Schizosaccharomyces pombe: one gene and its partners. The protein of the gene in region 1 binds, or shares a complex with, the protein of each later gene. Each region holds a gene or a part of one and is shown in the gene's direction. Other genes may lie near its edges.

Region 1 (5,650 bases):
TTGAGTAAATAGGCTATGATATAGTAAATCTTTAAATTTAATTTAATTCTCAATACCAAATAAATATTTCTTCAAAAAGGGTTACAAATAAATTAGCTATACTGTGGAGTATATGATATATCGATCCCCCTGATGTAACAAATATAACATATAACAATATGTGTTTAAGTATGAGTATATTCAGAATACATTGGAAATAACGAAAATCCAAATGAAACATTAAGCATAAATTTCTGATTTCTAACTTGCCCTTTTTATTTTATTTTATTCATCATAGTTGTCTACTATTCCAACACAAGTTATGATGTTAATGAGTTGCTAGAATGTTTATTTGCGAGACAGTAGTATAAATATCCTTTCGTAGCTGCTGTACGTTATAACGAACAACTTAACTTTCTTAAATTTTTCTCAATAAATACTTAAATTTACATTGAAGAATATAGCTGAAAATAAATAAACTCACGATGGCAATTTCTCAGCCTCTTTAAGTAGATTTGCTTTTATAGTCACTATGATCTACTGGTTTAGTTCTGTGTGCTGCTTCGTCAAAGTTGTAAGTCTTCGCTTAATTATTAGCGAAACTTTATTTTATCAGATAGGGATAATATCCAAGAAAATTGTACTACCAAGCTGCTTTGAGAAGATAATACAAGTACTGAGATGAGTGTAAAAAAGTGCCAAGGAAAACGAGCTGCGCCCTTTAACTTCATCTGTCTATATTCTAAATGCCACCTTTAAAACAAAAATCTAACTTGTCTTATAATGTAAAAACCCTAAAGCTTCGCACTTATGGTGACACATTTAGTACAAATTCTTTCTATTCCATACGTTCTTTGCTGAATAAAGAGCGAAGACCGTCCCCTTTATATTCGAGCCGTCATTAATTTTTCATTCAAAAACTAAGATAGTAAGGCACATCGATAACAATCTAAAGTTGTGAAAAAATTCTTATAAAACGGAATTCTTAAATACTTATTTCTTCCAAATTATTTAAGCAAACCTTCAAAAGAAGAATTATCCTTCAATGATTTAAACTCAACAACTATCAAATGAAGTAATTCAAGAATATAACTGTAGTCAAATATATACATCTATATTCCCCACGTCCATAAGATTTGTATATTTGTTTACAACGGGTATTTTTAGTTAGAAGAACGGTTGCTTGTAATGATGAGGAAGGATTCGTGAGCCGGATATAGCTGGAATAATGTTCAATACCTTTTCCTTTAATAGATCTATTTTACAAAATAAATTTCGTTGATTAATAAAACAAAAGATCATTTAAAAATCGTGCGCTTCACAAATTACTTTAATTTTCTTTTGACACAAGATTGTGTTCCTTTCCAAACTAAAAATATAATTGGGTTACTTCTTATATTGATAGCAAAGTTAGCTTCAAAATTTTAAGACAAAAAGGTGTTTTCAATTTGATTAGTTTATTAAAATTCTTGATTTTTTTGTTTTTGCTGTATGTTTTATAAAAAGTATCATGTCACTTGAAATACATGCTGTAAGACTACCTACTTTTGTTTAGCACTACCATACTGTAATACAACTAATACTTAAATCACTTTATCATGAGTCTTGCTGATTTTATGGAACGTAAGTGTCAAATTTTCAATAGAGAATGAAGTGACTAATATAGATGTTCGTTAGAAAGGGTTCAAGTCATTACAAACGATGGTCGCGTTGTGCTAGGTTCCCTGAAGGGATTCGATCACACGACCAATCTTATACTTTCAGACTCATTTGAAAGAATTATTAGCATGGATCAAGACATGGAAACAATTCCTTTAGGCGTTTATTTATTACGTGGAGAAAATGTGTAAGTGGACGCAGAGCCTTGTACTGGCGGTACGTAAATCAATAATCTAATAGTTATTTTTAGAGCAATGGTTGGATTAGTGAATGAGGAATTAGATTCAGAAATAGAATGGACCAAAATTCGAGGTGAAGCAATACCTGACGTTGTGCATTAATACAAAAACCGGACGTTAAACTTCAAATGAGAACAAACGTTTAAGGCTACATAGGATTTGGGTTAATGATTTTTTTGTTATATTTCCTCTTTGTGCGGGCGAATCCTTTGCAAATTTTGTTAAGCTTTCCACGATATATTCATACCTTGCAGCATGTCTTTTATCAGGAAGCTATTAGCTCGTAGAAAGAAGTGAAAATTCTTTCTTTATTTTTTTAAAAAAATATGACTGAGGTTGTAGATTAATTCTGATGACAAAGAGTTGACACTTGAACGAAAATACTTAAAAAAATGGTTTAAAATACCGAGTTCGAGGACATCGGTTCTTTCAGAATTTAAAAAATTCTTGGTTTCTTGTTAAATTTGTGGATCACAAACTCATTTTTCTTCTTATTTTGTGGGTTTCATCTTTCTTAAATGATTCTTGGGAACGTTAACATACCTTTGTTTCCTTAATTTGATTTATGCACTTTGATTTTGAAATTTGTGGTCAACTTGTTTAAAGACTTTATATTTATCATTGATTTTTGTTATTATATGGAAAAAAACATCACAATTTATATCATTTACTGTGCATAACATTCTTCATTTTTGCTGTCACGCTTAATGTTTACACTGGAAAATTTCTCTACCTTGAGAAATATTTCAGCATCATGGTCCAATTTACAAAGATCATTTGAGTTAAACAAAAAAAATGATTTATTATATTTGCTGCTCATATTTTTTTTTTAGTGATTTTTTATTTTGGCATCGTTTTGTGAACTTACTTTCCAAGCTTTGGGATTATCAAGAAAAAATTTTTGTTGAAAGAAGAGCAGAAAAACTGTTTGATAATTAAATGCCTTTGCAATTTCATTTTCTCAATTTAGCAAAATAAACTGAAATTTCTGCAGCAGTGACTTTAGGTTACATTGTAACCTACAGTTTACAACGACCTTTGTGCTTACAGCAACTTTTTTTCAATTAATTTTTTACAGCCATACAAAACGGACTTGATTCCTTTATTTTTAGTTTATTAAAGCCGTTAAATATGAATTTGGTTCTCCCTGGACAGGTGGTCGCGAGAGGGGCTCCTAACGGTGAAGGAACGGTAAAGAGAGGAGATTATATTATTTCCACACGAACTGGCATCTTTGATCCAGAGAAAAATTCTGTAACGTACCCAAGAAAAGTTGAAGAGACAGCCGTTTTACCTAATGTCGGATCTATTGTTTTAGCTCGCGTCAGCAGGATCAATGCTCGTCAAGCAACTGTAAACATCTCAGTCGTTGACGATGTCTGCACCAAAGATGAATTTCAAGGGGTAATACATGTGCAGGATATTAGAGCTACTGAGAAAAATAAAGTCAAAGTGCAAAATTCATTCCGACCGGGTGATATTGTCAGAGCACTTGTAATTTCACTTGGAGACGGCTCTTCGTACTTTTTAACAACAGCTCGAAATGATCTTGGTGTGATTTTTGCTCAGTCTAGTGAAACAGGAGAGCAAATGTTTCCGGTGGATTATCAGCATATGCAAACAAAATCAGGATATACGGAAATGCGTAAATGTGCTAAACCTATATTAGACGAATAAAATGAGGGGATAAAATTGCTTTGTTTTGATATAACCTGATAGTTTTTTTTCCCTCTCGGTTCGTTCTTTCCTAACAAAAAAAAAATTCTGAAATTGTTAGAGATTTTATGATACGAATATACGGAACACGGATAAAAATAATATTGAATATAGAAATATTGGAAGTTCATTAGAATGATGATTGAGGTGACTTGCTGTCGAAACCGATATCATTTTCAATTAGAAGTCAAATGTATAGTTTTATAAGATATAGAGAACCTTTGTAATTCAACTGAACGGACAGGAGCTCTGAAGTTTCTTAAAGTTATTTACTTAATGGAACTGAATTGGTCGGTTGTTTATAAACTCTAATTCATTAACAAAAACATGAATAAGGAGTTTCTAGCAATAATATGTGTTATGTTTACAACTTTCTAAGAAGGTTACTGTATTAAGTTATTTTGTGTAATTTAATATCGAGGATTGCACCTTTCATTGGAGGCTGTGATATCCTGAAATAACATTTATGATCACAGATTTAAGGATGAAGTATTTAATGACATGAAAATTAGTATTCGTACACCTCTCAGTAACTTTTCAAAACTACTTTCAGTTTTTACATTAAGGGATTGGATGTACTTTTTATACACAGTTTTATAAAATACTAGGTTGTCTCTAAACATCAAGTATCATCTCAATCTTTACTTTCGGCCATTAGACTGATATATTTTATATCAATTAATTAGTAGACAACTGTTTCCAGATTCTCATATAAGCACGAGAGCTTCTATTCTACCCGTCTTTTCCGTATATAGCTGTCATGACTCATTAAGCTACTCCAGCGTGAGACTATCAAATTTAATCTCTTCATCCCTAATATTTGTTTGTAAATACTTATAATTGCAAAATATTCCATTACCATGACATCAAATAGAGGATTCTAAATCCAATTCGCAGGTACACTGACTTTAATGGATTCTGGGCTAGTTCCATAAAAAGGGATTGAAAGGTTTTATTTTCCATATGATAATAGGTTTCAATAATCAGTTCGACAAAAACATCTTTCATTAGCATACTTATTACCTCAAATAGTCGATGTTTAACTATATCAGATGACTATCTTATCAGATTATTCTTCAATCTTAAGCTTAGGATTTCTATAAAAGTTGGTTACAAATACATCTCTTTATGACGAAAATTTACCGAAAAAAGTACATCTGGAGTCGCTCATTCCATCTTAGATAATTTGTTCGAGAAGCTTATAATTCCGGATCGTTTTGTCAGTAACTGTATGATGGGCTGAGATTGTCTTCTAATACGCTGTCTTCACTGGAATGCAAGAGCGCAATGGTTTTATATCTACTAGCTTTGTGATTCGGCGAGAGTTAAGATGTTGTTCCGAAATTAGCCATATGGTGAGTAAACCGTGCTGCAACTAATCTTAACAGATCAATTCTCACTATTTGAATTTGGGAAGGCTTCTAGGCAGCAACTTCCAGACCATCGTAAGTCGGCTTGTCGCTGTGCAGAGTATAAACGTGATGAAAAAGATGTGGAGATAATTCGTAACTTTGAACTCATGCACAGGTTTTTATTATTCGTTGTTGGTATCCTTTAGAAACCCTTGCGATTACTCCAGCTTGCACATCAATCGTATAAATATAGTCTTATTTCTTTCTCCAAAGCTGCTGATCTGATAAAGATTACTTTGATCAAATTGGTCCTGGGTTAAGTAACAATTTCATTTTTGAAGGATGAAAACTCCAAAATTTATCACTTACGTTACTCGTGGTTTCAAAGGACTTGAATCGAAAAGCGTTGAAAACAACAAAGACCATATCGTAGAAAACTCGAGCCCTATCGCCTCGAAATTTCATGAATTCGATGAGCAAAAGAAATCTTTTGAAATCATAAATTATGCTGGTCACGAAAAGTTTGTTGACGACATTACTGAAAGAGAATCCTCAGTACCAGGAAATGCTGTTTACGATATTACCGTCAGGGACATTGATGCAATTGTACCTGTAACGGACGATGTTGATATACCCGCATCGAGTAAGTCAAAGCTAATCCTACTTTTTCCTTTTTTTTTTTTTTTTAGAAGCTGTCATTCAGGA
Region 2 (6,670 bases), on another chromosome or scaffold:
CCTTTTTTATATATCATTTAACAACATTTGTTACACATACAAGATCATAACTTCATGCAGTAGCTGTGTGTAAACACTAGTATATTAATATATAATTCATTTATTTGTTTGTGGTCTACTAAAGATAAAATAAAATAAGAATAAACATAAGAAATATTAATAAGCCAAACCAAATAATCACAAAAAATACGTATATAGGCGTTTTATAAATATCTGCGTTTTGCTGGAATAATAGTTATGAAACTAATGAACGGAATTCAACTAAACATACTCTACAGCACCAATTAAATTCACTATCGATACGAACTTCTTTCTTCGGGATTTCCTTAAAATCACTTAACATCAATTGTCAAACTTATTAACAAACTGAAGCAATACTTGATATTGACCAAATTAATATTATTCTCGTACTTTTTAATTGAGTACAAAAAATAAAGTTGCCATTGTTTGTTGAATATACAAAAAATGGAAAAGAAATAAATAATACTTTAATAACATGAGTTCCAATGTATTATTGAAATTCCATGCGATTAACTTTTTTACTAATATACAGAATAACTCCACCTATCTGGGATCGTATGGAAGTATAGTTGCTTATACTTAGTTCCATTAAATTTAAAATTTTTTAAACAAGAAATTTTTTTATTAAGAACAGGTTTCTATTTACCAACGAAATAGGCTTGACTTACTAGTTTCAGATTAACATTTGCTCATGATTAAGACAATACGCAAACGCATATACCGAAATCATCGCAATTCACTATAATAAAAGCAAACTGCACTGCCGAACGCTATTCAGAGGCAAGAATAATCATGCATCTGTCCAACGATTTATATTTATTCACTTAAAAACATATGTCTTTAATCACTAAGTACGTCTTGTAGTTGACATATTTTCTTTCTAATCTTTTGCTTTTCATCTACAATCGTTCTACAGCTTTATATCCACTCTCACTTTATCATTCCTGAATGAATTCACTAATTGATCAATAACCACTTTTTTTCTTTACTTTAGTTAGCTTACGAAACATTATTTTTGTTCAAAAGTTTGTATTTAATTTGGTCATATCATCATGCTGCAAGTGCTTCGTGTTTCAGCTCCTTGTTTTGCTTTTGTTGATACTATAGGAAGCATTGGAGTTTGCAGGGTAGTTCGCTTTACCACATTTCATAATACACCTATTGAAGTATACAACAAGAAAGTTAATGACGGCGTATGGAAACGTGACCCGTATCAAGAAACAGCGGTTAAAGCAATCAACCGTTTGTATACCGAATTGGAATCGTATACACAACCTCCAATAACGCAAGATAGTATGCCAGCTGAAAAGGGATCAATCCTATCTTGGATATCCCCCTTAAAGAAAATGTTTTCTAGGAAGAAGTCTCCCACTCTAACTTCTTCTTTACCTGTACCGGGTATGCCTAAAGGTATATATCTATATGGTGATGTGGGCTGTGGTAAAACCGCTTTGATGGATCTATTTTATCACAACTTACCACCCAATGTTACTCGTTCTCAGCGCATTCATTTCCATGCATTTATGATGCAAGTTCATCGCACTTCACATGATTTGCAAGATCGTTATGGGTTTGAGATTGATTTTATAGATCATATTGCATCCGGAATAGCAAAAGAAACAACAGTGCTATGTTTTGACGAATTACAGGTAACCGATGTCGCGGACGCTCTTTTACTACGCAGACTCTTTGAGGCCCTTATGAAGTATGGTGTTGTTATCTTTATTACTTCTAATAGGGCTCCTTCTGATTTGTATAAAAATGGAATACAAAGAGAGAGCTTCATTCCTTGCATTAAACTTTTGGAACATCGTCTTCAAGTAATTTGTTTGGACAGTCCAAACGATTACCGACGCCTAAAATCTAAAACAGAAGATACATATCTTTATCCTGCTAATAGCCCAGAAGTTAAGAAAGCCTTGGAAAATTGGTTTCTTTGCTACGCTGATGAGAAAGATCCTGCTCACCAAGACGAAGTTGAAGTATTTGGGAGAAAGATAATCGTTCCAAAAGCAAGTGGCAACGTTGCATGGTTCACCTTTGAACAATTATGTGGAGAACCGAAAAGCGCTGCCGACTATCTTTCATTGGCAAGCCGTTACCATGTTTTCATCGTTTCAGACATTCCCAAATTGAGTATCGAGTCGAAAGACCTTATCCATAGGTTCATTACATTTATTGATGCCCTTTATGACACCCATGGAAAACTCATCTTATCATCTGAAGTTCCAGTTCAAGAAATATATCCGACAGCACCTTCTGAAGTACTTTCCTCTACGGCTGATCCTGCTGCCAAGGGGAAAATTGAATCTCACTATCATGGAGCATTTGGTGGGATTGAAGAGGTATTTACCTTCACGCGTTGCTTGAGTAGACTTTCAGAAATGAAAAAACAATCCTGGATTCATTCTCCTTAATACAAAGGTGATTCCTTTATAATGAGATTATATATCATGATGTATTATTTTTAAAAAAATATTTTGAAAGATGGCTATGAGTAATTTCTAATTTTTTAGTGGTTGGGCTGTTACAGATCATTCCAGTTTCTCCTATCATTCAGCTTTAGTAAAGTAAAAATTGGAAGAATTTAATTACAAACCCTTATTAATACAACTCCCATTGTCACCAAACTATTGATACATTTTTTTCTGCTCTCATTCTGTTTTCGAATAACGAGGTGTAAGCTAGCTTATTTCCTACTTGTGCAAAGGAAGTAGAAACGTTTCTTCTGTCTCTGCAAGCAAGCAACTTTGTTGCATTATAGAAGCTGAAATGAACCGTATAGGTATCCTCTCAAGGTCTGATGGCTCGAGCGAATGGAAACAAGGTAATGCTATTATCCACGGTATATTAGCCAAGCAAATGCCAATTAAAAAAAAATGAATTTTCTTTATGCTAACATCATTGTAGGTTCTGCTAGGGTTATTTGTGGTGTCAATGGTCCTATTGATGTAAAAATCAGGGACGAAAGGCTTAACAAGGCCACCGTTGAAGTTTTGGTTCAACCTGTGAGTGGTGTCGCTGAGACTTTGGAAAAGATGATTTCTAGCAGAATTGTTGGTATCCTAGAAGATGCAATATTTCTAAACACATATCCAAGAACACTTATACAAGTGTCAATTCAGATAATAGAGGAAGATGGCACAGATACATTGGCTGCCGTAATCAATGGTGCGGTACTTGCTTTATTGGACGCAGGTATCTCTTTAAAATATATTCCCTGTGCAATAAATTGTCACTGGAAGAACAAAATAACTCAAGATGAACCTGATGTCGATGGGACAATTAACAAATTGGAGTCTATTATTACTATTTGTTATTCAATTTCCTCAGAACCAGCCAAATTAATTTTTCTCGAAACAGCTGGCCCCATTCCAGAAGAAGATTTTTTCCGTGTTCTGGAGACAGCACCATTGCATGCCGAGGAAGTTTCTAAGAAAATGAAAGAATTGCTTTTTGAAACGTACAACGAGAGCGATGGTCATGAAAATGAAAAGAACCCCAAAGAGGATGTTGAGATGGATGTGGTTGCATAAGAAAATCAATAAAGTGCATGTAAAAAGTCCATCTCAAGGACCTTCGTTTCGTATTTACCATTGTACCTGTTAAACGACTATACCTTTGAACAATATCTTTGGCTGTTCATTTTTATACTTAGATTTTATATTACTTGGGCGATATACATTGGGTTATTTTTAATTTATTTTAGTTTATTACTAATTGAGAAACCAGAACCTAAACAATCCTACTACATTAGAAGGTTTACTGTCATTCTTTCAATTCACTAGCAATTAATGTGTTCTTTCAATACTTCAATGTATGCTGATACATTTGGGTTAAATCATAAAAGAAGATCTGTCATAAGACAATCGTTCAGTACAAGGCCTTGGGTATATACACTCATGACTTTTTTTTTTAATTTTGCCACTCACTCACTTACTCTATACATATTGAGTCTATCTAACGTATCAAGCTGTTAACTAAGAGAAACGATTTGAAAACACATAGGAAGGTCGCACACATTAGCTGTCTTATATACTACTGAATTTTAAGTTTAGGAAATCATTGAAGGTAAAATAGGTAGAAAAGTGAATAAAAGGCATTCATACCCAGGACAAAGCATTGCCTTCATAAACTGGGAATTTGCCATACACTAAAAAATTACTGTTGCACAACTTTTCCTAAAAAGTAATCTAATGTAGTAATATTATACTACAGCAGGTATTAATATTTTTTCACATGTCCTTTTTTTTATGTGTTCGCCAAATATGACGGTTATAAATTTAGTTAAATACTTTTGATTGAAGGTACTATTAGCTACAATTTATGAATAGAGATCAATTGACCCGGTTCTCAGTCCAGTTATAAGCTGATTCAACGATGAGTTACACCCTTCATGCCACAAAATTTATAGCATTTGTCACCCATATCACTTTTTTTAGGACAAATAACATACACTACCAATGTAACATTAAATGTGATAACACAGTGCGTTGCTAACATTTAGCAATTCTTTTCTTACCACGTAATACTTTTTATGGATAACCTTATTCCGCGTTATTTTTCCCCACTCACAGCACACTTGATTGCCGAGTCCAATCAAGTTGATATGAATAACCGTGATGACGGAATTAGGGCGCTTCGTAGACCTTAATTGTTTACATACAAAATGTTCAGCTATGCAGCCCTTTCGTCCACATTCAACACTCCCCCATCTCTTCTTAAAAAAAAAATAAGCAGAAAAACTCGTTTTCTGTAAAGTAGAAGGTATTTTAGAATACACTACAATTTTTTCTAGTAAAACTATTATTGGATACCTTTTTTTCGCAGTTCTAAAGGCTTATTTCTGCTAGTTATAGTAATTCACTGTGTATTTAGGAGAGGACTCAAGGTTGTCGTTCTCTCTTTCTATTACTGTCTATTAATATCGTAAAATAGCTCAATTTTGAATGGGTTTATCTCTTTAGTTTGCTTGCTCTTTAACATTTGTCATTATCTCATACATTTTTTTACTCACGCCTCCCTACCACTTATCACTTAGTCCTATTTAAGGGGAAATTTGTTTACTTCTTTTTTCTTAAAAAATGTCGGTCTCAAAAGCTAGACTACAGTCTGTGGTTCGCCTGTCTCGTACAGTGCCATATTCAAAAACGATGGTTCGTTCATTTCATGTATCCTGTGCTGTAAAGAACAGTGGGAATGTTCCTACACCCCGTAACAAATCATTTTTCTCTCGAGCACTTGAAATGGCGGAAGTTACTTCTTCTTTGTCCATGTTGGGTGCCGTAGCCCTCTTCCAATCCTTACGAAGACTGAACAACAGTTCGCCAAAAGGAAAATCTGGTGTTCCGAAAAAGAACATAGTTGTTTTGGGTTCTGGATGGGGTGCAGTCGCGGCAATCAAAAATTTGGACCCGTCCTTGTACAACATTACCCTCGTGAGCCCTAGGGACCATTTTTTATTCACCCCTATGCTTCCTTCATGTACCGTGGGTACTTTGAGACTTCCAAGTATTACTGAGCCCATTGTGGCTTTGTTCAAAGGAAAAATTGATCCCTCCAACATTCACCAAGCTGAATGCACTGCCATCGACACATCGGCTAAGAAAGTTACCATTCGTGGTACGACCGAAGCTAACGAGGGAAAGGAAGCGGTTATTCCGTATGATACGCTTGTTTTTGCTATTGGAGCTGGTAATCAAACATTTGGTATCCAGGGTGTCCGCGACCATGGCTGTTTTCTGAAAGAAGCGGGAGATGCCAAGAAGGTGTTTAACCGCATCTTTGAAATCTTGGAACAAGTTCGATTCAATAAAGATCTTTCTCCCGAGGAACGGGCTCGTCTCTTACACATCACTGTTGTTGGTGGTGGCCCTACTGGAATGGAATTTGCAGCTGAGATGCAAGATTTCATTGATAACGACGTTAAGGATATGTTTCCCGAGCTTCAAAAAGACATCCATGTCACGTTAATTGAAGCTGCCCCCGGTGTTCTCCCCATGTTTACTAAATCTTTGATTACGTATACGGAGAATTTATTCAAAAATCTTAACATTAAGATCATGACTAAAACCGTGGTTAAAGATGTTAATGAGAAGAACCTTATCGTTCAAAAGACCAACCCTGACGGAAGCAAGGCTATGCAAGAGATACCCTACGGAATGCTCGTTTGGGCTGCCGGCATTACTGCTCGTCCACTCACTCGTACATTGATGTCTTCTATCCCTGAACAAAGCGGTGCGCGCAAAGGTTTAATAGTTGATGAGTTTTTTAGGGTCAAGGGTGTACCTGAGATGTACGCCGTTGGTGATTGCGCATTCTCTGGATTACCTGCTACTGCTCAAGTTGCTAACCAACAAGGTGCTTGGTTGGCTAAGAACTTGAACGTCGAAGGAAAGAAGTTTGCATTGCATGAACGGATTCAAGCTCTTGAAAAACAGTTAGGTGAGAAAGAGGCTCCTTCTCAGGTTGCCGGATTGAAACAGCAAGTGGAGCAGTTGAAGTTAGAGCCCTTTAAATACCATCATCAAGGAGCTTTAGCTTACGTTGGAGATGAAAAGGCCATTGCCGATTTAAAATTGCCATTTATGAAAAAGATGCTGCCTTTGCAGGGAATTGTCGGCCACACCTTTTGGAGACTTGCATATTT
Region 3 (5,645 bases), on another chromosome or scaffold:
GACTCGATGCTCTCATTGTTTCATGACCTTAATCTAAAGGGTTATTTGGAAACCCAAAATGTTTTCTCATGATTATTAATGTGGTCTGATGGCGTTATCATTTTGATAGCTTCTCGAGCTGTTTCTGCTATCTTGAAATGAGTGTTTCTCTTTCATTGTTGAACGTCTTGAGTATGATTAAAATGGTATTATGTCTCCAAAATAGACCTGATATAAAGTGCATTTTACTTTATCTACCAGAATCGTGACTCTATAGCCATTAACAAAGTTGTATGTCAACACCTAGTTAACTGGTGCTTTGTTATCTTTGTATTGCTTACTTCTGCTAATGGCTTTGTGGAACTGACAATAATTGGTAGTTAATCATAAAGACCCTGTATGTTTATCAAATTTTATAGCATTGGGTACTAATTCCTTTTATTATAAATACAATCGTTCTTTTATCTTAGTGTTTATACTTACCTGAGTTTGTGAGTAGCAGCTTTTTTATATATAGTTTTAAAAGTATTCTATTTATTAAAACATCTCATTTGATTAAGTCGAAGTGCAAAGTGGTGAAATTTTATGGTGTTGTGTATATTTTAAAATTGCTTTACTTCAAAAACTTAGAATTTGTTTTTTGGACGAAAATAAGCTGTAGTGGATTGTGTAATGCCTTTTTCATTAAAAAGTATTATTGGAAGTATACTAAGTTAGTATAAGTGTCCATAGTCAGAATACGAGCATAATCGTGTCACTATTCGGTAGGCTATACAATATCTTCACTTGCTGCCAAGTACAACATATATAGCTTGTTTGCTACCAAACACATGTGAGCTTATTCTAACAACTAAGTACATAAGTTTTCTTTTAAACTATTCAAAATGGATTTGTACGATTATATGGCACCTACAACCACTACAGAAGAAGATGATGAAGAGGGATACGAAAAACTGAAAGAAGAAATGGGTTCGGCTCTAAATGTAATTTATCCTTTATGATGATTTACGGCGCGGAATTTACTGACATTTTATACAGAATCTGACGAATGGAAAGTTTGGTTTGTTTTGGAACTCAATGAAAGAAAAGGTGTGTTGATTGCGAATAATGGCATTGTTACTAACCGTTCAAAGAGTGAAAACTTTCTTGATGATACAAAGGGAAAAGCCTCAAGTGGAATGCAGCAATTAAAATCACAGCTTGAAGAAAATATACCTGTTAATTCTGCTATGGAAAACTTGCGAAAAGTAGAAGAAACAGCAGGAAGTTTCTGGAGTGGCTTCGGATCTACAGTGAATGGTTTTTTGGATCAAGCATTGCAGATATCACCCAAAGAAGACGATGTATCGACTCCTACACACGAAGCCTCTTCGTCTGTTTTCTTAAATCGCCACGAGAGACAGTTGTTGGAACTTGTTCAAAACGAAAATACTTTTACCCAAATTATCTCTGAACCCTCTCATGGGATCACGTTTGAAAGCTGGGAAAAAGAAATTTCCATTGATGGGAAAACTGAAGAGATCTCTTTACTTTTGGAAGAATATCCTGATTTAAGGAAACAGATGGAATCTTTAGTACCTTCTGAAGTTTCTTATGATGATTTTTGGAAACGATTTTTTTGGCATAAAGAGGTTGTACAGCCGATAAAGGCAATTCAATCAGGAAACGATGAAGAAGAAATTTTTAGTTGGGGAGATGAAAGAAGTGATGAAGAAGAAAGTGACAATGAACAGGTTAATGATGAAAAAAAGCAATCAAGTGAAGAAGATACTACTGAGAATAATTCAGCAGCTGAAGTGATAGATGAAACCGTCAATGATTTGGAGTCAGCAGTTTCAAAAGGCTTACAAATTGAAACTCAACCCGCAAGCCATGATGGAGAGGTTGATGGAGAAGTTAAAGAAGAAGAGGAAAATAAAGTATCATCTTCCAGTAATATAGAAGCTTCTCAAAGTTCTCTTGAGGTGAAGGATGAAGCAAATAGAAAAGTTGATGACGATGATGAAGACGATGATGACTGGGAATAACGACTCTCGTCAAACTATTAAAAAGAGATATACTGTTTTTACTTCTCTTCTATTCATTTACTTGTTTTGGTGTGTTTTGTTCGTATAGCTAATTATTTGTCTGAAAACATTTTGTTTACGAACAACTCTTAGGTATATTATTAGCGGAATATAAAAAACATCTAATCTTGAGTATGCAGGTTGGAGTAGTAGGACTAGAGCATTAATCAACCTTCTTATAATATTATACATTTACATATACTTTTTGATTGTGAAACTTAAGGAAACCAGGATTTAAAAGTAAATCTGTATGGGTCGACGACATCAATAGATAATAAGTCCCTTAAATAATGAAGATTTTTAAGGAGAAAATGAATTCTGATATCACTTAGCTGCTTTTAGTCTTTTTTAAGTTTCTTCCAGTTGTTGTTTATTCACATCACATAGGCGAAGATCAACAACTCGACCATGAGCAGCACCATCTTCTTCACCAACGAGTGCGTATTGATCAACGATACATTCTAAGCTGCTAAATGGCTTAGTCAATACTTCGGTATTGTAAGCGTTTAGCACAACGTGAATGTAAATAACAAGAACAAATAACCAAGTAGGAATAGCTAGAGCCCACCAACGAGATAGATAATAATGAATCTCAAAAAATTTGAGAACAGGCGCAGGCGTCAGAGCCCAAACAATATACACGCCGAACCCCAACATTGACACCAAATACATCACGAACCCGTAATACTCATAAGTAGGAACTTTTACCATTATATCCCAATCTTGTTGATCAATTTCTGCAATGGCAGTTCCCTCTTCATCAGGCGTTGTAGACCTCGTTCGAAACATCGTAGTCAAAGATGGCGACGGTGGAACCAACATCGGATGTCCGTAAAACGGAGGATCAAAAACAGTAGTTTGCCTTACATCTTCTATCTCTCCTTCAGCAGAACCCTCTATCCCTTTTATGAACGTGGAATGATGAGTAAGTGTCATCCAAACATGTGTTTACTATGTGCATTTGTTAGATGAGAGCGCGTACTGAGATGATACAAATACAACTACGTCTGCTTACGATGTGATTAAATTCGATATCCCTATTAACGACATACATACAGAAAATCCTCGTAAACAGCATTATAGCACAATGTACGTTTGCGTTATTTTTCACAGTCTGGGCTAATGTGATTTATAAAATTAACGAGATTTACAGTATTAGTTTAGACACACTTACCGTCCAAGACATTAATCCTCGAATTATAGTGTATAACTCGCGAAAAATCAAACCCCAAATAGCTAATTTTCTTCTGTTAACCAAATGGCTGAAGTTGAAGAAAAAGGTCTGTTATCTTATTACTTTCCTGGTGAGCGGATACCAGACTCCATAATTAGTCAGGATGGATCAATTCGTTTAGGTCCTGGTTTAGTCTTTCAAAAGAAAGACCGTGAAGAAGAAATAGTGGTCTCAAAAGCTGGGAGGTTGCATCAAACTGGAAAAAATGCTATGTTGATAGACTCACGGACAAAAAGATATATTCCTGCTACAAATGATCAAGTTATTGGGCAAATTATTTCTAGATTTGCGGAAGGTTATCGAGTAGATATTGGGTCAGCTCATATTGCTCAATTGAATGCATTGGCTTTTGAAAATGTGACTCGTAAAAGTAGGCCCAATTTAAATGTTGGAAGCCTTGTGTATGCTCGAGTATCACTCGCTGATCGTGATATGGAACCGGAGTTAGAATGTTTCGATGCTACCACAGGGAAAGCTGCAGGATATGGTGAACTTAAAAACGGTTATATGATAACAGGTTTATCTTTATCTCATTGTAGGAAGTTGATCCTTCCTAAAAATACACTTTTACAGACCCTAGGAAGCTACATTCCTTTCGAAATTGCTGTTGGAATGAATGGTCGCGTTTGGGTCAATTCTGAAAATCTTTCTACTACGGTCCTCATTTGTACAGCTATCAGAAATTGCGAATTCATGTCTGATGAAGAGCAAATAAAGTACTGTAAAGACCTTATTAAAAAGCTCTAACGAGATTCAGAAAAAAAAATTTGAATAATATGCACAGTCTATTTAACAATTCTTGTCCAATTGGGTTTAATTCAAAAATGGTTTGCCCTTATCTAGGAGGGACCATTTCTGAATAAAGTGTATTGTTTCTTCTTTAATGCCTGTGTCTAATATTCCCATACAATTTCTGTCGTTCTTTTATTTATTACAGCAGCGTGTTCATACAATATCTACACTCGTCCTTTCTCAACTGTTTTAATTAAAAAATTACTTATTATAATGCATGAATATACAAATACAGATGCAAAGATAAGTAAGCAATAATTAATGCATGCATAATGAAAATATAATTGTTATTCGTGCTCGTAAATAGTTTTTAAGATCATACCAATTCTACAATCCCAAAAAAATTTCGTATCCAATTATTTCGTAAATCCTTCGACAATTGCAACGACACCAAGAGCGCCGGCATCGGGAACTTTAACATCATCACCAACGTAGACAGCACGTCCAAGTTTGGCTTGCATATCTGCAGTAGCATCAGCACCTTTACGAGCCTCCTCTACGGCAGCATTAAGATCATTAGTTTTAACAAATGTTTCGACAAATGGAACAAGAGCATCACACATAGTGCTGTCACCAGGACGAGCGGGAGTATACTTGAAAAGAGTATCAAGAGCAACCTTCAAACCAGCAGCCCATGTCTTAGATGAAATGTCCTTGCTCTTCTCCAAGGTGTCTTTCATGCCCTTCGCAAAGCCATGGAAGAAAATGGCGTACAAAGCACCAGATGTACCATCCATATTGTCTTCAATAACATCTGCGATATCACGAACAATACGAATAGGATCGTCAGAGAATTTGTCGGATTTAACAAACTTCAAAACACCTTCAGCACCACGCTTCAAAGTAGTACCACAGTCACCATCACCAGCCATCGTATCGAACTTTGTAATTTTAGGCTCTGCTTTGATGAGATTCTCCATCGAATTGACAATCGCCTGACGAACCTTCTCCTTATCGACAGTAACGGGAGACTTGACATCCTTCTGACCCTCCTCGATGCTGACATTGCCAATCTTGTTTTTGGACTTCAAGTCAGAGGGTTGACACAAAGGCCATCCGATAGCTTCAACAGGTTGGTCAATCAAATCAACCAAAGAGTATTCTTCGCCCTCGACTTTGACGCGGTCAGTGGTACGGAGCAAAGTGATACCGAAACCCAAGCCATTCAAACTGGTGGTAAATGGACCGGCAAAGATGCGAACGGGGTTGATTTTGTATTCTTTAGCCAATGCTTCCTTCACCTTGTGGCTAATGGCACTGAATTCAAGCATGGAAAGACCACCAAGGTTATTCATAAGTAAGACTACTTCATCGTCACCCTCAATCTTTACATAGGCACGGTCCTTGTCGGATTGATCCAACATTTGCTTAAGCATCTGAGCGATTAGGTCATCAATAGAGGGAATAGGGGAAATACGCTTGCATCCAGGTTCATTGTGAATACCCATTCCAAGTTCCATTTCATCATGTTTCATTTCATCTTCTTTTGCAATTGGCTCATGACCAGGGACGTGAACGTGAGCGAGTGAAGCACCGATACTAACCAAATTGTCAATAGCAGCCTTAGCAATGGT
Region 4 (5,810 bases), on another chromosome or scaffold:
TAGCCAGCAAGAACGCGTTCGTAAATAGCTGGGTCTGTCTCACTCTTAAGGCCGTAGTTGAATGCATAAAGACTGGCTGCTGCAACTATGAAGTCAAAATGCTCACGGTTGTGAATATCAAAAGATAATGGAGTAGGGGCACGCTTAGGACCAGACCAAAACGGTTGGCCAGTGGAGGTTACAGAATCCTTAGGGAAATTGAAAAGTAATTGCTGAATGTTGTTGTTAAAGAACTTATCAAACTGCAAACGGGCCCACATAATACATTCCTCAAATGAAAGAGGCTTCTCCGTAACAAGATAATCTCTAATATTTTCTAAAACTTCACGGGGGTTACTACTCGTTTTCAATGAAGTTTCCAAAAAGTTAGGAGAACTAAGGTACATATTAACGTTATCGATAGGCTGTTTAAACAAGCCTTCAAAGAGATCGCGAGCCCATGCAATGGTGTGCTCAATACGGTTAGGAAAGTTCTTCAAAGTACAGATAGGAAATGACTTTTCAGGAGGGTCTTGGGATGATCCGTACGACTCTGTAAGATGAGGTACAACAACTTGCGTATTACCCTTAGTACCCAAAGTACCAGACTCTAATAATGGCTTTTCGAAAAATACACAACGGCGGTCAACATACATTCGAGCTTCGACGTTATCCAAAGCATTCGTGACTAAAGATAACTTTTCAAAGAATTCATCGCCAAATATGCCTTCGCTTTCTGGTCCAACACGTTCTTGATATGAAGTTATTTTACCAGTCAATGAAGGATTCATGATTGAAACAGCGGTAGAAGCACATTCGGACTTCAGCTTTCCGACGTCACGAGGACGAAAGAGAAATTGACGATTCAAATTCGATTTTTCAATGGAGTCCATATCAGTAACAGAAATATGACCACTTTCACCAGTAGCGACACCCATCATAGCCCAGTTTTTCAGCATTTCACATCCAATAGCGCCAGCACCAACCAAAAACGTACTCAAAGAAGCTATTTTCTCTTGAAATTCCGAACCGAAAACAGCGATTTGCCCATCGTATCGACAGCCACGAGGTTTACAAGTTTCTTCACTGATCGTTACAGAAGATGGCAAGCTTTCTAAGGAGTCAAAATAGAAGTATTGCTTCAATGGGTAAAATTTACTGGTGGTAGCTTTCAACACTTCCTGTGCTACAGCACCGCCCAAAAACGCGGACATTGCAACCAAATCACCTCTTGCCTGGTATGAAATTTCCTTAATTAGTTTTTCATCGAGTTCAACATCAAATTGAAGTGTGCTTGCAATTTTCTTACAAAATTCGAAAAATTCAGCTGCATCAATGTCGTTACGGGGTCGAGGCAATGAACCTTCATGCGCATCGGCAAATGCTGAAAGGGCCTGGAAAGCAATGTGGTATTGTGGAGGTCTCATCATTTTACCAAAGTCAGGATATACATATTCAGGGTCCTTGAGCGATTCGCGGAGAGATTTGAAAGATATTTTGGTTGGAACTTTAACTTGGGTAAAGACACCATTGTAACCGGCACTTCCTAAATCTTTAACAGATCCGATAGAAAAGGTATATGGACCTTTCACTTCAACTTTACGAGGAGTGCCATCATTTAAACCAGGCATACCCTTCACTTCGGTAAATTTAACAAAATCACCATTCTCCAATCCATGACGAGTTTCTTCAAGCATGGTAACAACTCCATCATCAGTAATTGAAGCGATCATTCCAGTTAAAGGTTCATTTCCATCAGTGTCAGTACAAATAAAGTTCTCACCAAAATCACAAAATATCGATCCAAAAAGACCACGGCTGTCAGCAGCAATATAAGCAATATGGTTTTTGTGTGTAAAGTCGTTAATTTCTAGCTGTTTCGTAAGAGAAGTTTCTGTGACAACCACGCATTTGAAGTTTTTTAGATACTCTGTTGAAAGTTCATCAACTACAGAAACAGGCACATATTGATTAAGCTCTGCTAACTTTGATACCGTTACTTTTGCACGAGGAACACCAATATCGTCTTCTGTAAGAAAATATTGTGATGATAAGTCCTCAATGCGTGTAGGTTGAGGATCGTAAAGAGTAACGCTTTTTACACCTGCTAGACAAACGTTCTTTGCTATTTCAACGCCTAAACCTTTGCAGCCAATGATTAAGACATTCGACTGACTCATTTGTTTCATAGCCTCATGGCCTAAAACATAACTTTAGATAAATTAGCAAGCGCTCAGTACAAGAAAGAATATAAAAACATAAAGCTAAACCAAATCAACACCGGTAATAATGACTCTTCATGTTTCTAATAAAACTTACAGTTGTCTAGAGTAAAGCCCTTCATCGATAGTATTTTGATCCGTTTGATCAATGTTCATGTTATTCTTTTGCAATGTTAGTAAGAAGCGAAAAATACTTGAATCATTTAAACAAATTACATACACTCATTACGAAACGTGGTGTTGGCAGAGGAGAGTCATACGTAGGCTATAATATAGTGTTTTTATATGTTCAAATAGCGAGCTCTTTCGTTACACATGCTTAACAATTTATTACTCATTAAATTTAAGAGCGCGCACTTGAAGTATGCTGGCTGGATAAAAAAAAATTTTGCACCATTATTCTAAAAGCATTTTTATTTTCCAGCTTACTGATTGAAACGCTTAGTCATTACAAAAATCTTTTAGATGCGATAAAATTGCTTTCTATATGTCATATATACACCGAATCAAACAATATCGTTATATATATTAAGGCATGCAAACGCGTCATCCCAAAACGCGAAGCCACCACTGAAAATCCAGGCTGCTTCTGTATTGTTTTCTTAACGGTACATCAAGGTTAAAACAAATACTCTATAAATCGATGTCAGATAGAAAGAGAGTGTATGGACCGAGTGTATCCGTTCCCCCTTATTTTGAAGAGCCAGAACAACCTGTTTTCACGCGGACTCGTGATGTTGACAGATGTCGAAAAATATGTAAGATACCGATTATTAACATTTTCACTGACAATTAGATCTAAAATTAGGGTGGGCTACTAAAGCTGTCGGTAGCAGTTATTTTGAATCAGAAAAAATAAAAATTGCATGCACAGTCTCTGGTCCTCGACCTAGTAAGACTTTTGCTTTTCGTTCATCAGCAAAGTTGAATTGTGAATTTAGATTATCCCCATTTTCTACTTCTGTTCGTCAGGGACATGTACAAACCGTCGAAGAAAAAAGCTATTCCCAAATGATTGAAGCAGCAATTTCTCCAAGTATATTACTGCATTTGTATCCGAAAAGTTCTATAGACGTTTATATTCAAGTGATTGAAAGTGACGGTGCATTAGCAACATTGGCTGCTGCTATAAGTTGCGCATCAAGTGCAATAGCTGATGCTAACATCGACTGCATAGATTTGGTGACGGGCTCGAGTGTATTATTTAATCCCAATACGGATGAATATTGGATTGATCCTGATTATGTGGATGAGCGTGCAAGGGCTGCTAAAGGTTCTGTAGTTATGGGGTACATGGCTTCTCTTGGTCACGTTACTCAAGTATGGGAAAGAGGCACTTGCTCTCCGAGTCGCCTTTCGTTTTTGACGGAAAAATGCATAAAGAATGCCAAAGATACTCGGTTAGTAATTAATCATGCACTGCTACTAGAGAAGTCGAAATCCGAAGATCCTTAGATATTGGAATTCTACCTCTATAATAATATTCTGTTGATGGCTAATATTTATACCAATTTTACAAATTACATAATCAAATTTATTTCTTTTTAAAATTCTCTTCTATTAGTTGGCAATGCTCAAGTTTTGCCTTTTTTTCCTTAACACACATTTGAAGGGAGACGCTATCTTTTCTCGACAAACAAGCAGATGACTTCCCTAAGTAGATTTTCTTCTTTGAAATCAGCTTGGCCATCCGCAAGTTACGTTTGTTATGAAAAATACGAGTAAATATTAAATTAAAGATCTTAGTTTTTATCACTCGCGAATATATTCAGTAGCCAAACGATTAACTCTTTCCAATTTTTTCCAGTCTATTTATCGATTCCAATAGAACAAAACAAATGCTGAGATTTTATTAATACATATATTTGATACTAATTTATCAAGCTGCATTGAGACGAAAGCATCTTGGTAGTACTAGAATCATTGTTACTCACATACTGTTACCTGCTTCTTATAACCTCCAAATCAGCGAAATTCCGCGTCTTCATCATAGCCAAACTTATGCTCAATTGCCTCGTTTGTAAATTAAAATATATTTAACAATAAGAAGGACGATAAAGAGGGGATTCTTCTATACAATAAAATTGCTTTCATTTAAATTAGGTCATTGATGATTATTAGTTGTTGCTTTTAAAAATTTGATATATTCACGGACAATAGGATAGAACCATTTAAAACGGAAGCTAAGAATCTTTCCAAAAGTCCAAAATAATTTGATTTTATTGAAAATTACTCGAAAACTGCTGAATTTGCGAATTTGCCTTTATTGCAGCAAATTACCGTATTTGAATACTACACTAGCTTAAAATTATTGAGTTCTTTTTTAGTTTTGAAATAAAACTATAAAAAATCAAAATGTCGAGCCCAAGGCGCAGAATTGAGACGGACGTTATGAAGCTGCTGATGAGTGATTACGAGGTAACTCTTGTCAATGATAATATGCAAGAATTTTACGTTAGGTTCCATGGACCGTCTGAAACCCCTTACTCAGGTGGAATATGGAAAGTTCATGTTGAACTGCCAAGTGAGTATCCTTGGAAATCTCCAAGTATTGGATTTGTAAATCGTATATTTCATCCCAATATCGATGAGCTTAGTGGAAGTGTTTGCTTGGACGTGATAAATCAAACTTGGTCTCCAATGTTTGATATGATTAATATTTTTGAGGTTTTTCTTCCACAGCTACTCCGTTATCCTAATGCGTCGGACCCTCTAAATGGAGAGGCAGCAGCTCTATTATTGCGAGAGCCGAATACCTACTATGCCAAGGTTCGAGATTATATCGCTCGGTATGCTAATAAAGAAGACGCTGATATAACTTTGAACGACTCTTCAGATGATGACACCATGTCTTCTATTGACACTGAATCTGGCGATGAAATTGCTGGTCCAATGGACTCTGATTTTTAAATTTCGTTACGTTGCTTTGTTTGATATACATTGATTCTTTTTTGAATTCTCTTTATGGATACTGATTGTGGCATTCAATAAACCGATGGATAGCTAAATCTGTTACACTTTTTTTTCTATTGATGCATTGAATGATTCTTTTTGCATGCTGTCGCTTGCAAAACCCGTTTGAATTTGCTTTCAATCAGTAGTCGTGACAACGATATTTAATAGGTTTATTTTCTTGAAGCTTCAAGTTACTGCAGCATAATTTACGACTATAACTCCATGATGCATAGTTAATGAGAACTAATATTTAAATAAAATAGAAAAAAAATATTAAATAAATACATTGATCATATCTACCTATAAATTAAGCTGAACAATCAGCGCGTTAATTATTTCCCTATCATACGATGGATCATTTTCTTTCTGTCGTATGCATTCAATCGAATGAGATACGTGAGCAGCTAACTGACAGTCAACTTTCGAAACTTCTTGACTACGAAATAAAGAAAGCTCATGGTAAATCGAGTTTAAAGAAATGTGTAAATCATCATCGTAAAAAAACAACATTTTCTTAGCGTAAGTCAACGTTAAAGCATGCAATTGAGAACAGTCTTGCATACGTAACTTTTGTGTTCTATATAACTCAGTAAGAGATTCCCGTAATTTACAATATGACGGCTTTATAACACATTCGTAGGCATAATATTGTAA

What was found.
Region 2: csl4 (region 1) and rrp46 share a complex: the UniProt entries of both Schizosaccharomyces pombe proteins name them as parts of the RNA exosome complex.
Region 3: csl4 (region 1) and rrp40 share a complex: the UniProt entries of both Schizosaccharomyces pombe proteins name them as parts of the RNA exosome complex.
Region 4: csl4 (region 1) and mtr3 share a complex: the UniProt entries of both Schizosaccharomyces pombe proteins name them as parts of the RNA exosome complex.

The regions. Positions count from the first base shown.
Region 1 is NC_003421.2:2,276,325-2,281,974, forward strand, and holds csl4 (exosome subunit Csl4), read left to right. Parts: upstream 1-2,943; 5' UTR 2,944-3,008; coding exon 3,009-3,554; 3' UTR 3,555-3,962; downstream 3,963-5,650. Other genes in the region: U6 snRNP-associated protein Lsm8, read left to right, coding at 1,578-1,602, 1,657-1,825, 1,889-1,979; opt3 (OPT oligopeptide transporter family protein), read left to right, coding at 5,288-5,588. UniProt on the Schizosaccharomyces pombe protein: Non-catalytic component of the RNA exosome complex which has 3'->5' exoribonuclease activity and participates in a multitude of cellular RNA processing and degradation events.
Region 2 is NC_003423.3:636,581-643,250, forward strand, and holds rrp46 (exosome subunit Rrp46), read left to right. Parts: upstream 1-2,751; 5' UTR 2,752-2,793; coding exon 2,794-2,848; exon of another isoform or gene 2,849-2,931; coding exon 2,932-3,557; 3' UTR 3,558-4,763; downstream 4,764-6,670. Other genes in the region: AFG1 family ATPase, read left to right, coding at 1,074-2,438; ndi1 (NADH dehydrogenase), read left to right, coding at 5,106-6,670. UniProt on the Schizosaccharomyces pombe protein: Non-catalytic component of the RNA exosome complex which has 3'->5' exoribonuclease activity and participates in a multitude of cellular RNA processing and degradation events.
Region 3 is NC_003424.3:1,177,590-1,183,234, reverse strand, and holds rrp40 (exosome subunit Rrp40), read left to right. Parts: upstream 1-3,294; 5' UTR 3,295-3,303; coding exon 3,304-4,026; 3' UTR 4,027-4,379; downstream 4,380-5,645. Other genes in the region: SPOM_SPAC22A12.14C (BSD domain-containing protein), read left to right, coding at 864-962, 1,018-1,068, 1,113-2,006; mug84 (pig-P phosphatidylinositol N-acetylglucosaminyltransferase subunit), read right to left, coding at 2,394-2,981; dihydroxyacetone kinase Dak1, read right to left, coding at 4,428-5,645. UniProt on the Schizosaccharomyces pombe protein: Non-catalytic component of the RNA exosome complex which has 3'->5' exoribonuclease activity and participates in a multitude of cellular RNA processing and degradation events.
Region 4 is NC_003423.3:3,885,313-3,891,122, reverse strand, and holds mtr3 (exosome complex component mtr3), read left to right. Parts: upstream 1-2,805; 5' UTR 2,806-2,844; coding exon 2,845-2,959; exon of another isoform or gene 2,960-2,997; coding exon 2,998-3,656; 3' UTR 3,657-4,218; downstream 4,219-5,810. Other genes in the region: uba1 (ubiquitin-activating enzyme E1), read right to left, coding at 1-2,190, 2,299-2,363, 2,422-2,427; ubiquitin conjugating enzyme Ubc8, read left to right, coding at 4,557-5,111; gamma tubulin complex GCP4 subunit Gfh1, read right to left, coding at 5,457-5,810. UniProt on the Schizosaccharomyces pombe protein: Non-catalytic component of the RNA exosome complex which has 3'->5' exoribonuclease activity and participates in a multitude of cellular RNA processing and degradation events.